Drosophila melanogaster: one gene and its partners. The protein of the gene in region 3 interacts with the protein of the main gene of each other region in a pairwise test. Each region holds a gene or a part of one and is shown on either strand. Other genes may lie near its edges. The genes, in order: CG14968, CG12773 and Cht9.

Evidence for each region.
Region 1: the proteins of Cht9 (region 3) and CG14968 interact in a two-hybrid assay, tested with the Drosophila melanogaster proteins (one large-scale study listed by BioGRID).
Region 2: the proteins of Cht9 (region 3) and CG12773 interact in a two-hybrid assay, tested with the Drosophila melanogaster proteins (one large-scale study listed by BioGRID).

What each region holds. Positions count from the first base shown.
Region 1 is NT_037436.4:3,298,806-3,305,077, forward strand, and holds CG14968 (uncharacterized protein), read right to left. Parts: upstream 4,308-6,272; 5' UTR 4,243-4,307; intron 3,612-4,242; exon of another isoform or gene 3,527-3,611; intron 2,338-3,526; exon of another isoform or gene 2,079-2,337; 5' UTR 1,993-2,078; coding exon 1,918-1,992; intron 1,243-1,917; coding exon 718-1,242; 3' UTR 531-717; downstream 1-530.
Region 2 is NC_004354.4:1,349,078-1,355,775, forward strand, and holds CG12773 (uncharacterized protein), read right to left. Parts: upstream 4,905-6,698; 5' UTR 4,412-4,904; coding exon 4,176-4,411; intron 4,122-4,175; coding exon 3,577-4,121; intron 3,411-3,576; coding exon 3,209-3,410; intron 3,152-3,208; coding exon 2,917-3,151; intron 2,850-2,916; coding exon 2,268-2,849; intron 2,204-2,267; coding exon 2,025-2,203; intron 1,961-2,024; coding exon 1,801-1,960; 3' UTR 546-1,800; downstream 1-545. Other genes in the region: MTPAP (mitochondrial poly(A) polymerase), read right to left, coding at 67-169; CG11417 (uncharacterized protein), read left to right, coding at 5,018-6,698.
Region 3 is NT_033778.4:21,067,424-21,070,984, reverse strand, and holds Cht9 (chitinase 9), read left to right. Parts: upstream 1-1,698; 5' UTR 1,699-1,712; coding exon 1,713-1,773; exon of another isoform or gene 1,774-1,845; coding exon 1,846-2,287; exon of another isoform or gene 2,288-2,349; coding exon 2,350-2,953; 3' UTR 2,954-2,993; downstream 2,994-3,561. Other genes in the region: CG10527 (uncharacterized protein), read left to right, coding at 1-403.

The DNA of each region.
Region 1 (6,272 bases), on a different chromosome or scaffold from region 3:
TACGCTATCCCACTCATTTGCACCTAGGCAAATAAATTTAATAATTTTTTGATTTCCTAGTTTTATGGCCATTTCTCAAAGGATAATTGCGGACGAGCGTTGAAATTTAAGTTTAGAATTGTTGTTCCGACCAGTTAAAGAAACAAACTACAAAAAAAATTGCAAAAAAATCTTAAAATAAAAATATTAAAAATTAAATAACAAAATTGTTTGATGTAGGTGGGGTAAAATAGGTAAGGAACACTTTTTGGCCAGCTAATCAACTCCATCGTGCAGAGGTTTGAGTGTCCTGTGTTTTGCCTAATCGCATTCAATTTCTGAACGGTAGAGATGGTACGCTTAGAAACAACCTAAAACAATTTTATCTTATAGTTGAACTTAAAATAAAGTAACAATATTTAAAAATAATTCTATAATCCTTATTTTTTTTCACCACTTGTAATATATGTGCTTAAAAATCAAAAGACTTAGGACACAAACTGCAAGTGGCATATCAACAGGTTGTAGCCCAATTCAAATAGCCAAACATACCATATTCGTAATTTATTTTAGAAAATCGTTTACAAATCGTATTAACACTTAGGCTTTGGGTAATTAGCTGTATGAGGCAACTACCAGGTGAGAGAACCACAATTTACAGATACAGTGAACACTGGACGTTAAGTAACTAACACATCACATCTCATTGACGGAGCCAACGCAGGATCACCAGGATAACTACGCCTCCGTTTCCTGCTCCAGTTCGCCAGCCTGGATTTCCTCCGGCGTTCGCAGATCGATGGCGAACTTGTGTCGCGTGGGTGTAATAGTGTCGCTGGGCGTGGCCTCGCCCTCCTCCTCACCGGTTGCCTCCTTGACCCGTCGCGAGTAATCCTGGAAGGCGGCGGCCAGGGCAAAGGTCAACTTCCGCGCCATCGCACGACTGTCGCACACGAAGGCGTGAACCTCAAAGGGATGCGGACTCGACTCGTCCTTCACCACGATCATGGCAAAGACCCTTGTGTAGACCAGGTCCTGAACGCCATACGAGATCGTGTCGATGGGATAGCTCCAGTGATTGATGCTGGCCTTTGGCGATATGATCTCCAGCTGGACTCCGTCGGTGGACACCTTCAGTTCGCAGTTGGGCAGCACCTTATTGGGCGGCAGGTTCTTGGCCACGCCCACCATTATGTCCACCGGACGACGCGTATACTTAATGCCCCATAAGCCACGTGCCACTTCGGAACCAATGTACTTCACCTGCAGGGAGAAAATGTATACGATATATTAAAAAAAAAAGATTGCCGATTCTACACTGCATTTAGTCAAAAAAAAAAAAAATTCCAATGAGTATATAACCAAATATTCCTATTTTACGTGAGTAAACAAATATATGTTCATGGACGATGTGGTATTATTCATCGGTGGCATTGGTTTCCGCTGCGCATGCGTTGCCGTTAGAGTCGCTTCATTTGCATCCGACCTGCGACCGGATGTCCACAGCCAAGCCAGAAAGCTGTTGCTGTTGCTCATGTGGTGCCACTGCCACGCCCCTTTCCCCTCACCGCCCCCAAAGTGAAGTTCAGCAGGGCGTGACGCATGCGTGTCTGGCTCTTTTTTTTTGGTCATGTCTCATGTGCGGGTGGTATTATGTTCAGATGTCTGCTTTTGTTCGTTTATGCACTCATAAAAAAAGAGTTCATCGAGAAATTAGGATAGACATTTTAACAGTGGATTTTGTCATATGTATAAGTAGCCAATATGGAACCAATATACTCATTTCATTTTATCATTAATTTTCAGTGTACCTAATTTTTTTCCGTGTATTTTCGGTCATATACGTAAGTGGTCTTAATGGGGATTGGTACCTGAACTTGCGCCACATATTTCACAGCATTTAAATTTGAAAACGCATTTCGCCATGTGAACACTCACCTTGAACGTTATGGGCAAATCCTCCACATTGACCTGGCTGTCCAGATCGGTGGTACTACTGTTGTTGGAGGCCATTCTGTAGCTGTATCTGTATCCGTATGTCGTCTATCGCGAAAGGTGCAAGCGAAGATCCACCGTTGAACGCATTCACCGCAAACCAACTGAAAGGGCGCAAAAAACACGAGCTTGAGTAATGCTCCCATTAAATGTATCTCGCGGATATTTTATGCGCCATCTTACGGAGTTCACATCCACCGTTGCATTACCATATCTCTACCGTAATCGCTGAATTTTACATGGTTTACTTTGTGTGCGCTTTTTGAACCTATATATGTTATATTCCGCTGAATATCGGTCGGGTCGACTAATGGTTCTGTTTGGGCTTGTTGTTGCTGTCGCCGGCTACGGATTGCTACTGAACTAGCGATCGGCGGCAAAAGGTGTCGCAAGTTGTGCCCCCAGGTAGCTCCACTCCCTCTCACTCGCTCCCAATGCCACCTGGTCCCCCTCCCCTCCCCTCCCTCCCACTCGAGCGCAGGTAAACAGAAAAGAGCGCAGGCAAAACAAATGGGCTAAACAAAAGCAGTGCTCAGATAACTTTTTTCTCTCACGCGGTATCGCTGCCTAAGCGCAAACAACTGATATTAGAAGCGACAGCCCGGCACTGAGAGAAATAAGTAGTGAAAAGAAATATCAAATGCTTAATGAGTCTTTTAAATAGATGTCTTATCTTATCGTTTCTTAAAAGGATGAATGCGTTATATTATTGTCTTTATCTTATCTTTCAAAAGGATGACTGAGTTACATTGTGATTTTTAGCACTCCTAACGGCAACAATTTTTTTTAAGTGGATCAGCGGAAATTCCCGCAAGTAGTAAAGCATTTTAAATCTAATCATAAAATAATTATGAGGTAAAACGAGTATGTTGCAATTGATAACCCAGTCAACGCCACTCAAGCAGGGTATTCGATCACCAACTTTTTAAATCACTTTTTCCACACGCACTTTTCCATGCTGCACACTATTTATTAGAAATGTATTATTAATATTTCCTCACGCAGCCCGCTGACCACTCCAATTGCCCAATGAATATAGGAGCATTATACCGGATATATGTACATATGTGTACATGTGTATATATTACAATGGCCATGCTGCAATAGTTGCATGTCTGCCAATTAATGACCGACGAGAGAAAACCGAATTAAAACCAAAACTGAAACGAATGGAAATAAATTCAGTGCAATGCATTTCACCTGTGTGACGTCATTTGCGAGCGAGAGGGGAAGCTTTCTGTGCAACAGCCAATACTTTTTTTTAGCTTTTTGTTCTACTTTGACTACCATTTTAATGCCAATGACCCAAGCGGATAACTAGTGACAATGGCCTGTGTTGTAGACACAAAACCCACGACTAATTGTGTGCTCATCTGATCTTTTGTTCTAACGCCATTTACAAGTTGCCTGATCCAGATTTTCAGGAAGATCACGTTCACAGCTATCGAATTTTGATATATTACCAAATTTGAAGCCCGCTGTTTTAGCCACATTACAACGTTTGCCACGCTAGTCCAATCTATGGCCATATAAATCTCAGCCTTACGCTCACCTTTGTACTCTCCTTATCGTTGTTTACTTTAGGGTTATTAACGAATTTTACATTTTAGAAGTTGTTCGAAAATGGCAATTTATTCTGTACGGCATACTATATACTATATGTGTTTTACATATTTTCTCCCCATACAATATGCCTACATATCATTGCCACTATCATTATGCCAACAACCATAACAATAACAATATCAGAGACAGGTTCGGTAGCACTCGCAGTCCAATTTAGATAATTTTCCACTGGACATTTCAGTTTAAGCGGTACGAAAGCCGGAAGCTGCTCATATGAGCATATCTCCTCTGTTCGTATAATAGATTTATCTTTTTTATCATAATTTGTTTACGGGCACTGCCGATGACTGTCATTTGTCGCACATATAGATTTGCGTATGTGGAGCTCGTACTAACTCCCTTCCATTCACAGTGACTAATTTACTAAATTTGGTTTCTTTTATTTACACTTTATTCACTTTATTTTCTCTTCAAGTTCCAATTGCCTGTTATCACGTAGGGAACATTTACCCATTCGCCTAATCTTATCACTCACTACTTCACGCACACGGGGAATTCAGCAAAGGTAAAATAGGTAAAAGTCTTATTGACTTTTTGACGAAAAATGGAAATAAGTCTTGAGTTAAACTAAATGCTGAAACGTGCTCAATATAATTCCGCTGATTTCTGAATTGATTATGGGGGTAGTCACTTTGGAATTACCGATTTTATGATGGCTTTGTTTCTTTGTACACCTGTTTCCTCGGCCGGTAAACGCGCTACTAACGAAATCCCCAATGATCGTGGTCAGTGATGCCGCTTTAGCCATGAATATTATCTTCAAAAAAGATTTTAAAGTTGGATGTTTCTACTAACAACTCACTTTTGCCCTGAAAATATATATATTCTTTTTTTTTGCCAAAATATTTTATTTTTTAGATAATTTCCTTATAAAGGCACGACATCACTAGTAAGTCATTTACCTTTCCCATCCAATACACAAACCAACTTTGAGCTTGAGTGCCATCGAGCTTTTTGTTGGTTAAAAGGGGTTAAACGCAGTTGTTGGTAGTTTTGCGTTAAACAAAGAGTTTAAGCTACATTATATTGAAATGTAACGCCTAAAAAAATAGATTTATTGTAAAGTAGCCCTTCACAAAAATATTTCGTATTAAAAGTGACAAAATGTATCAAAAGCCTGCCAGTTTTTTATTTCAATTACATTACTGGCTCCTATTTTGGTTTCTACTACATTTACTAGTTTTCAAACTTATTTTTGAAAGACCGCTTGTAACGGTCGATAGTCATTATTGTTAACCCGATAGAGCTGCACAAATATTATCGATATATTATTGGTATTTTCCAACTGCCCGGATGGATTTTCGATGACTGTGGCTGCAGTCACACTGAGTCGGGAAAATAATTATTTATTAAAAATTCGTGGACCCGCGCTGTACATCTGTGTCTGTGCTGTTCGCTCCGCTCCAAGTGCGGCAAAAAGCAACCAAGAAGGCAGGCAGCCCAATCGGTAATTTACGGCGGAGTAGTGAGGCGATATACGGAAATCGCGACCAGTGCACGTGCAATTGTGAATCGTTCTCGATTTTCCCGACCCGCACCCTTTCTTCTCTTTCGACCATTGTGACTGTGCACAATTAACTTGCATACATACGTGTATGTATGTACACACTCTGTTTGTATGTATGCGTGCCACCCCCAATTGAGGCGGAAAAAGGAGAAGCAAAGGAATTTCTGCAAAATCCAAGATGCCCATGCTATTTTCACTATTTTATTTTGCCAACTTTTCAGTCGACACTTTGCTCTTGCAGCAACAAAGCCAACAACGGCGAAAATTGGAAGTTATTTTCTTTTCTTTCTCCACTCTTTTTATCGCAAAACAACAGCAACACTGCCCGTGCACCGCTCTCCCCGCTCCCACTTGCGTCCTTGTTAATACAGTGAATATCGGCTAGCCACAAACAGGGGAAATACAAAGAATCTTAATTTGCATTTGTATGGTTGATAAAAAGTCAACTTATCAACTTATCTAAATCGTCAAACCAAAGTGACTTATACATTTGTAAACATTTTTAAGCGTTTTCCCTGTTTTAATTGCGAAAATAGTAAAGATATCGTGTTTTATTTTTATCAACAGTGCAGCGAAAGTTTTATAAAGTATACATATATTCAGTCAAATAATTATTAAAGTCCTATACTCTCCGTATACACTGGATTTGGTTTTTTATTAATTTTCAATTATGTGTATTTTGAATTTAGCCTCTTCAATTGGAGCTTAGGAACCTTAACAACCAAAGAACCGATTTCCAGACTTAAAGCTAAGGTAAGTTAAATACACCTATTATTCTTAGCCTCATTATCAATTTTTAATGAAACTTCAAAAAATAGATTGTAAGAGTGTTATATCTCTTTTCTTAGTTAAACATAATCTCGGAAATGATATCCATTATCTTACGTAGGGGATTTGCCTGCAGGAGACCTGCATCAGCATGTCTGTTATTGTTGCACGTGGGTCACCGAACTGGGCGGGTGTGGGCGTGGTCAGGTAGTAGCTGAGCATATCTGCATTTCAACAATCGATCTTAATCTGCGCTTGCTTTTGAGTTCCTTTCGTCTAGGACTTGTTATACTTGATTTATGGCCCCTTCCCGCGATTTCCCATCCTCGAAAACCGGTTGTTTTGACTTAATCATCGGTTCTCGCTGGTTATTTGATATGAAATTCTTTCTGACTCA
Region 2 (6,698 bases), on a different chromosome or scaffold from region 3:
CTGTTGGCGAACATGGACAGTGGTAGTAATATTAAACAGAACAGATCTCGGCCAGAATCGGCTCACCTGCGTTCCGTCCGGGAGAAGCCGCCTCTGAAGCATTGTGCTTTATGCAATATGTACGCCAGAGGCTCAGCTGCTGGGCGCTGCGTCGCACTAAGCTGTTCATGGCGGGCTTGGGGTGTGGGCAGGTCAAGTCCTAGGCCCACTTGGTGTGGGTGATTTCGGATCTGGAATTTAACCGAATATTGTTGGGCTGTATTTTTGAGGTTAGGTCGAGTTGGTTATCGGTCGCGTTCGCTGGGTGTGCAGCCCTGGTCCCAAAACCGTGGCTTATTTTAGCATTCTTAAGAGTTAGATGATAACAAAACATATCATTTTGCCATCCTAAGCACATTATAGCTCCACTTTCATTTAGGCAATCACCATTAGTGCAGAGGTTTTTGCAATGCCAATCTTCCAAAAGAAGCTTATGCATCCCTGAAAATCTATCGATTACTCTAGGTGGCGCCAAACTCAAAAGTTTGTAATTTCATAAACTTTTTATTTCACGTCCCAGTTATTGTGTTATTATTGTTATTATTACATGCGGGTTTTGCCGTGGGATGAACGGGCTTCGTAAAACTAGGTTTAATTAGACTAAACACGTACAAAAGGGACACGATTGGGTATATTTTTTAAATATACGTTAGTTAGTCATCTTCCTAACACTCCTGGATCGGTTACATTAGTCAATCAACGTGAGGTGTATATATCGGATATATGCGAGTGATATATATACATATATTGGGTGTATATAGAGTGCGGTTATTGCTGATATCGTATGCCGAGTGAGTGTACGCGGGTACAGGTTTATATATATTATCAATTAGGACTGTTATTGTCCACCGACATGGTAATACAGGATTATAGCTTAGCTTAGGTGTTGTTTGTGTTATGTGGCTCATTCTTGTGTTCTGTAACAATTTCATTGTGCTCTGTGTGCTGTGTGTGTTGTCGTCTTAAATGCAAGGCGCCAAATCATCGAGTTTGATTTCTGGTTTTGGTTTCACTTATTATCTCAGTATCACATATGTCTCCTCGAAATGCGTTCTGTTTTGTGTGCGGAACACTGGAAACATATCCATTTAGCAACAACTTATTCGCTCTCAACTAAGGAGTAATCGTTGAAGAACTACGAGAGCAAGGAACACATCGAAAGAATGCGAAGCTTAAGAATTAATACATTAGAATTAATAATTAGAAAGTGCTCTGAGTTGTTGTGTGAGTGTCCTCTGAAGTTGGGTGTGTGCGTGTGGGCGAGGCGTGGACACGGGGATGGACACGGTGGTAAACGCTGGACTGGACAGCTGTGGTCAGAATGGAGCCTCCGCAACTGAAATGTGCTCTGATTTGGCTGACCTCCGAACGTTTTAACAACTAGTAAAAAGCTAAAAATCAATACACTATCAACATTTTCTTATCTAAGCACTACATCGTGGGAGAGTCCCAGTTAAAATGCGTCACAGACTCCAAATTTTGTTAAAGCAAAACGAACTAAGACCGAGTTTGGAATACTACCATCGTGACCTCAGCTGTCGCTATCCTAACTATACATCAAATACATTCGTACAGATTTACAAACACACATAGGGTTAAGTTTAGTTCGGCTGCCTCGCCGGCTCTACTTCACTTTAGTTAAACGTAGTACTGCTTAGCGGTAGAGAAATGCACTCGACTATTGCTTTCCACAGCCACGCCGCCTGCCCCGTTGCCCGGCCCGCATACAGGTGAACCTGTGCTCTAGACCCTGGACTCGGTCTAGATGTCATCTATGAGGCGACCCTCGATAACGGACGAGTGGTGGTAGTTGGGCCGCGGACGGAAGTCCTCGTTCTGCTCGTTGAGCTGCGTGGGTGAGAGATCAACGCCTGGGCACGAGGGTGTCACGACTATCTGCTCGTACTCGTTCATCCGTTTGCTGTGCATCAAATGGAGCGAGATGGCAGTTAGTTGGATACTTCAGAAGCGCCAAGCAAACTCACCCGAAGCACCGGAATATGACGCTCTTCAGCCAGGCGAAGAAGTTAAACTCCGCAGTGAGACCCGGCTTCACGGCCGGATTGGCTGTGCCCACATAGAACCATACGACGAACACCACCAAGAAGCAGGTGAGGGCGTAGTACCAGTTGACTAGCAGCATAACCAGCAGTTTAGTGAAGGCCTGTGTGAAAGTCATAAATGAGTAAGCTTTCCGGAGAAGCGTCGTCTCCTTTATGCAGACGTACCCCCAGCAGAGAGGCCCAGCGATTACAGTAGCCGGAGTACCAGTTTTTCGTCTTGGAGTGGATGGGCGGACGGATCGGGGCTATCGGTTCGGCCTCGTCGCCCTGGTCCTGTTCGACGCCGGCCTGCGCGACTGCCTGCTCCACGGCCAGTGTGGTGTCCGCCTCGTGCCCCGTTCTCCGTTCCGAAGACTGGGCCTGGTTGGAGGTGCTGGGACCCTCGTTGTCAAACTCCAGGGGCACTGTTTGGTGCAGCGGTGAGTTCTGCGGACTCTGCAGGTTCTTGTGGCGCACCCGATCAGGGAACAGGAGGTCCAGGTCGTTGCCCGTGTCCGAAACACTGCCGTAACGGCGCGTCTCGTAGCTGGGACTCGACGCCTGGATGCGGAAACGCTCCTCGCGCTGCTCCTGAATGTCGAAGGTCTGGGCCAGCGCAAAGTAGGCGTAGTCGATACAGGCATATGTGAGCAGGAAGGGCATGGTCACGATCGGCGCCAAGAAGTTGATGTCTCCCACGATAATGAAGGTGACAGTGACTAGGGCCACGATGGCCATTGCGTATAAAGGCACTTTGTTGGGACCACGCTAGCAAAGATTTCGAAAAGTTGTGATTACGTTATTTTCCTTATCTTATTGTTCAACTGGTACTTACACCCTTTCCCAGGATATCGATGCCCGGAATGACGCTCTCTTTGGCGATGCTCTGAAGGACGCGCGGAGTGCCGTACATGGCGCCCAGGCAGGAGGACATGCTGGACACATAAATGCCGGCCAACAGCAGGAAATGCACGGCAGACACCTTGACAGAGATCATGTAGTCAGTATACAGGAAGCTTCGTTGGCAGGTGGCCCCCAAAAACAGGACGAACACCAAGTACAGGAACGTGCTGCAAAGAAATCAGATGTCAAGAGCTACTGATTTCCCGGCGACGTGTAAACCTTACGAGGTGCCAAAGGCGGCCAGGGTGCCATTGGGAATGTCCGTGGACGGCGCGCGCAAGTCGCCGCTCATGTTAATGCCCGACAGCACTCCGGTGACGGTGGGAAAGAAGACGCCGAACACACGGAACCAGGAGTAGCCGTCGTCGTACTTTGGCCATAGGTTCTCCACGAAGTTTCCGCTCGCCCAGCCATTAAAGCCGCCACCTGCAAATAAAACCAGATTAATAGCTTGTTGGCATAAAATCTTTGCAACTTCTTTTGAATCATATTCCAACTAAATTCAACAGATTATTTAAAAATGCCATAATCTACTTAGGAAGCGATTAGTCACTGGACATGGCTAACAATCGCATATGAATAATGTACTCACTGGCCTCACTAGTGAAGCTGCCCACCATGAAGTCCAGCGCCGAGATCAGCAGTATCATGAGCAGTATAAACTGAAGCTTGATGACCCACTTGACGCCGGCCACGTTGATGCAGCCCAACAGGAGCACCGCTGCCGTAGCGAACCCGCGGATGGCCCACTTGCTGCCCTCGAGTCCCACTAGTCCAGCCATTGATTCGCCAAATCCCATTACGTTAAGGGCGCATCCCACCGCCTGGCCAAAGCAGTAGAGCAAACCCAAGGCGCCTCCGAATCGGGAACCAAGCGTGTGGGCTATGAGAAAGTACACGCCACCGCTTTCCACACGGCACCGCTCGCAGATACCGATTGCCGAGAGGACGCTGACGAGAGCTATGACCACCGTGCAAAAGATGATCAGCACCGCGTTCAGAATGCCTGCCTGTGCGACGATCCATCCGGATCGCAGGAACACGATCACTCCAAACACGTTGATTAGGCAGGAGGTGAACACTCCGTCCCAGGTGCCGAATAGCACGGGCTGGGAGATGAAGAAGTTCGAGCGCCACCTGTTGAGTAAGAGGCTTAGGATCCTGGCCAGAAGGGTTGCCTGATTCACTTACCACGGCTTGTCGCCCTGCTCGCCCGCAAAGATCTCGTTGGCCCCGGACGCATGGTGGCCACCAGCCGCGTACGTGTACTCGTTACCTAAATCCACAAATCCGCCGGTGTTGTTGTTGGTCCGCTGGCGAAAGCTGGTCACCGCCACATCCCCGTCCTCGTCGCCGCCAAGTCCAAATCTCTGCCAGTCGACAGTGCGTCGGCCGCCGTTGCCATTGCCCTCAGAGCTATTAGTCATCTCCGCTCCGCTTCGCACCGCACACTCCGCTCCACCCCGCTTTTCCCGTACCGCTTTTGGCAGTTGTTTGCTGGCCTTGTTGTTGCTGCTGCTCCCGTGGAGTTGAGCAGTTTTTGCGTTGTGCTGTTCTCGCGGGTTATCTGACGACTACTCGGGCGTAATCGCGGCAATTAACTGATTGCTATTTCTTGGCGTTGCGCTCCCACTGCTACACCCAAACATCCAAACGTCCAAGTGCGAGCACATCCACGCAGGCAGCCAGTGGAGAATCCTCTGAAGATCGCAGATCCGATGGAGGTGCTGCAGGCGCTGGATTCGAGTCACTGGCGACCGAAGCGGGAAACGGCGGGCATCGTCTTGGTCGCACTTGAGTAACTGTAACCGCACTCAATAAACGCTCAAAAAGCTAAATAAAAACACTTGCTTATTGGTAAACTACAAGAAGTCGTCATCGATGACTTTTCGGTGGGCTGCGATATGCGTTAGACGATAGGCCGCCTATCTGTTTCTAAGTTCTATCGCTACCATCCGATATCGATAACCAAACCGGTGTGACGCGCCGCACGTGCTTACGTTTTGTTTGTATTTTACTGGGCTCCTCGGGAAATGGGCAAGAAGAAGGACAAGTCCGGGAAGCTGGACAAGCAGACGACGAAGAAGGAGGCACCGAGCTCGTCGCAGGCCAACATGGGGAAGGCAGCTGGAGCCAATGATTCGGAGAACGGAATTTGGCAGGACTCTCGGTTCCAGCACCTGCTGACCGATCCCCGATTTCGCGGCGTTCCAAAAGTGCAGCGAAAGGTCAAGATCGACAAGCGTTTCCAGGGCATGTTCACGGACGACAAGTTCAAGGTGAAGTACACCGTGGACAAGTACGGCCGCCCGGTCAACAAGAGCAACGCCGAGGACCTCAGAAAGTTCTACGAACTGGACGAGAACGAGAGCAGCAGCGGCGAGGAGCCTGCCAAAAAGGAATCCGATCTTGACTCCGAGGCGGAGGCAGAGCAACAAGAGCGGCGCGCCGAGGAGCGAGCCATAGCCAACTTGGAGAAGGAGGAGAGCAACGATACTCTGGAAAGCGATAGTTCCGAGGTGTCACAGAGTCTTCGTCAGCGCCTGACCAACCCAGAGATAGACTACGCCCGCGGAGAAGGCCGCCTGTATACCGACTCCTCCTCAGACGAGGACAGCGATGATGAGGACGAGGGTCCAGAACTGCAGATAGACCACGTGTGGGGCGAACTGGACAACGATGCCGAGCACACCGAGGAGAGCACCCGCCGGCTGGCTGTTTGCAACATGGACTGGGACCGCATCCGGGCCGAGGATCTAATGGTCATGCTCAGCTCCTTCCTGCCGCCCGGCGGTAGCATTCTCAGCGTCAAGATATACCCCTCAGAGTTCGGGAAAGCGCGCATGGCCGAGGAGGAAGTGCACGGCCCAAAGGAACTGGTGGAGCGCGTGGAGCCAGAAGACGACTCCGATGAGGAGCTCGTACGCCAGCAGGACAGCGATGCCGAAGAGGGGGAGGACTACCACATGGAGAAGCTGCGTCAGTACCAGCTAAACCGACTTCGCTACTACTATGCTGTCGTCGAGTGCGACAGCATAGACACGGCCGACAAGGTATACAAGGAGTGCGATGGTATCGAGTACGAGAGCTCCGCCACGCGCGTGGACTTGCGCTTCATCCCGGACGACACCTCGTTCGAGGAGGACACGCCGTCGGACGAATGCTTCGAGCTGCCGGATGCCAGCAGCTATAAGCCGCGACAGTTCACCACCACGGCGTTGCAGCAGGCCAAGGTGGATCTAACCTGGGACGAGACGGCGCTGGACCGTCGTGAGCTGGGTGACAAGCTCTCCAGCGGGCAGGTTGACAAGCTCACGGACAAGGAGCTGCGCCAGATAGTAGCGTACAGTAGTGAGGAAGAGGATTCTGAGGCAGAGGAATCCCCGGCGGAGGAGGCTGCTCAAAAGGCGGTTTCAGAGGACCCACAGAAGAGCAAGCCCAAAAAGACTTCTAAGCAGGAACGCATTGCCACCTACAAAAACTTGCTGGCCGACATCCTGGAGCAGGAAAAGAAGGAGAAGGAGCAGAAGTACGAAATGGAAATGACCTGGAACGTGGAGCCCCAGCACGAAGAGGCACAGCCGGAGCAGCAAGCCCAGGCCGAGCTCACGCCCATCGAGAAGGTGATCCAGAAACGCAGCGAGAAGAACAGGCAGCGCAAGGAACAGCGCCGCCAGCGCCAGATCGAAGCCAGAGGAGGCGATGCCGGTGAGG
Region 3 (3,561 bases):
CAACGGTGAGGTGCCACCCAACGCCCTCGAGGGAGGATTCGACAGCAGCGAGCAGCTGTACATCGCCCGTGCCCGCCATGAGGGCGACCTCATTCCCGGCAAGCTGCATCCCTCCCACGGAGTGACCTACGTAGCCTGGGGAGGTGGTGAGCACGGCCACGCCGAATACGAGGTGCTGTGCGCCGGCGGCGGCCAGTGGTTGCCCGTGGATGCCGGAAACATCCCGCCCAACGCCCTGCCTGCCGGAGAGACCGCCGAGGGCGAACCACTGTTCATCGGCCGTGCCACCCACGACGGAACTATCACTGTGGGCAAGGTGCAGCCCTCCCACGGATGCTGCTACATTCCGTACGGCGGCGAGGAGCTGGCCTACAAGGAGTTCGAAATCTATGTGACCAACTAAGCCACGGATCGAATGTCCAACGCACTGAAACAAAACGTTTTAAATCAGTTAATCTGAGCGCTTTACAGTTCAACTGGTCGCAGAAATTTTATTTTATTTATATGTGCATTTCTACTCAAAACTGTTAAAGAATCTCTATATTATGTCGAAAAGTTTATTACATTGTTCAACGAAATTGGTTAATAAACAATAAATATGTTTAAGAAAATAACATATCTGAAATAGGCACTTATTTGCATTCATTAAGCTTGGAAATAAATATAAAATAAGCTGAATAGCTGCTTTAATTTTTCAAAAAAGTGGTGTGTTAAGATTAGTTGGATTTTGGTTTTAGTGAATCTAACAGTTCTATCGCAATCATTAATCACCTTTTAATCCATTTGTACTCAATGAAATTAGTATCAAACATTCTTTTTTTTTAATAAAATCATGACTGAAATGAAATGACTGAAATCTATAGATTAGTTTAAGCAGGCAATTGAAAATAATTTACTCCCACTCAATGAAAATCTATTCCTAATCTCATTATCAGTGAACCCATAAAACACTCATACAAAGTTAGTTGAAATGTTGGCAGTACAAGGAACATATTGCTATATATATATATATTTATACCAAAACATGTTTTCTTTTATTCATTTTTAAAATGAATGAAACATATCATATTGGCCTATTTACATTTAAATTAAGGGTATAACTGAGTCGGTTTAGTCTATCAACTATATTAAAGTCAGTAACCAGCATGTGAAGTTTTTAGGTCAGCAACTAACCTTTTTATGTTTCTTTGAACACCTGGCTTTGAAATGGCTTTAAAATAATAAAAGTATCATATTTACAGACCCAAAAATACCCTTCTGCCAATGTGAAGCTTATAAAATATAATAGTCTATATTAAATTGGTCTCATTGATTAGAGGTAATAATGTTTGGACACAAGCTTAAGATACTTATCAACTTAAAATTCGATCCAAAATATTAAAGGACAAAGTATTCATGTTCCTATTAAACCTAATATGCCTTGATTACTTAAGTTTGCCAAATATCACAAACATTTTAAATGTTGAAGTACCTCTTGAGAAAATTTACAACTTAAGGGATAGTAAACAAAAAATGAATCTGTACTTGAGATACAAATACCGGTCGCTAGTATAAATATTACAATTCAAAGCACGCGACGAAGACCCAATAAATTAGTCCGACAATTGGAGTGGAGTAGCCGACACAGCTGATAAAGATAATGGTATTGATAAGATCGGTGCGGAAGGGTATAAATACCTAGATGGAACAAGAAGTAATAAGCATTTCGTGCAATGGGAAAGTTATTGGCACTACTCGCTGTCCTCTGCCTTAGCCAGGTTATCGGTGCTGAACGTAAGTCTAATCTACGCGAATTTGGTGTTGGCTTAAAAGCTAATCGATCTGTATTCCTGATCTGTTATCCAGGCATCGTCAACTGCTACTGGGGCACCTGGGCCAACTACCGCAGCGGCAATGGCAAGTTCGATGTGTCCAATATCGATGCCGGTCTGTGCACCCATCTGAGCTACTCCTTCTTCGGAATCAACGACAATGGTGAGATCCAATCCCTGGACACTTGGCTGGACTACGATCTGGGCTTCATCAACCAGGCGATTAGCCTGAAGAACCAAAACTCCAACCTGAAAGTCCTGGCCGTGGTCGGCGGCTGGAACGAGGGCTCCACCAAGTACTCCTCGATGTCCGGCGATTGGTACAAGCGCCAGAACTTCATTAACTCCGCCCTGAACCTGCTGCGCAACCATGGATTCGATGGTCTGGATCTGGACTGGGAGTACCCCAACCAGCGTGGTGGCAACTGGAACGATCGTGCCAACTTTGTGACTCTGCTGCGCGAGATTAAGGAGGCGTGAGTAGTGGAGGAGCCACTACCGAAGCATACTTTAGTTTTAAATGATTTATGTCCTATAGGTTCGCTCCCTATGGCTATGAATTGGGTATTGCGGTGGGCGCCGGTGAATCATTGGCCAGTGCATCCTACGAAATCGCCAACATTGCTCAGCAGGTCGACTTTATCAACGTGATGACCTACGACTTTGCCATGGCCTCCGATGGCCAGACCGGTTTCAATGCCCCCCAGTGGGCCGTGGAGAACGCCATTAACTTTTGGCTGAGCCAAGGTGCTCCGGCCAACAAGCTGGTGCTCGGCGTGGGCACTTACGGACGCTCCTTCCAGCTGTCGGACTCCTCCCAGAACTGGCCGGGTGCACCGTGCCGCGGCGAGGGCTCCGCTGGATCCTACACCGGCTCTACCGGCTACTTGGGCTACAACGAGATCTGCCAGAACAACTGGCACACCGTTTTCGACTACGACAATGCCGCTCCATACGCCTACTCCGGTGACCAGTGGGTGAGCTTCGACAACGTGCTCAGTGTCCAGTACAAGATGGACTTTGCTTTGTCCAAGGGTCTGGCCGGTGCCATGATCTGGTCCCTAGAGACGGACGACTACCGCGGTCAGTGCGGTGAGACCTATCCTCTGCTCAAGACCATCAACAGGAAGCTGCGTTGGTAAAAGGAGAATCCGATTGTTAAGAATAAATGTTTGAAAATTGAAAAAAAAAACCACACTGCTGTTTGTGACTTTGGAGAATGTTTCAAAAGTTATTTCACAAGAAGTCTTAAGTGAAAACCAGATCTATCAATATGGAAACCTTTTAAACTGGTTGTAAACAAATCCGTAACAAACTTTAAATGAATTCGAAAGAAAAGCAAATAATAAGAATAATTTTATAGGGATTTAGTATCCTGTTCCAGAATCCTTTGAATCCTTCAATTGAATGAGAATAAGTAATATATTAATTGATTACTTGTGTAAATTTCTGTTTAGTCGTAGAGTATATGTATTTCAGTTATGATTATATATATATATATATATAACTTTACAACAATATGTTTTATTTAACATCATAATAATGTAAAAGTTCTCAAGTATTGTAATTTTTGATGTCAGATTTAAATCCAATTACCCATATCTACAAAAGTGCGTTATATTTTCATGTGATGACAGTAGTTCTACATTTCTAGTAAAAAGTATAAATCATGAATGAATAAATATGCTTCTTTTGTTATTCATTGAATACAAGTTTATTTATTTAATTTACACTTCATGAGTTGCCTGAA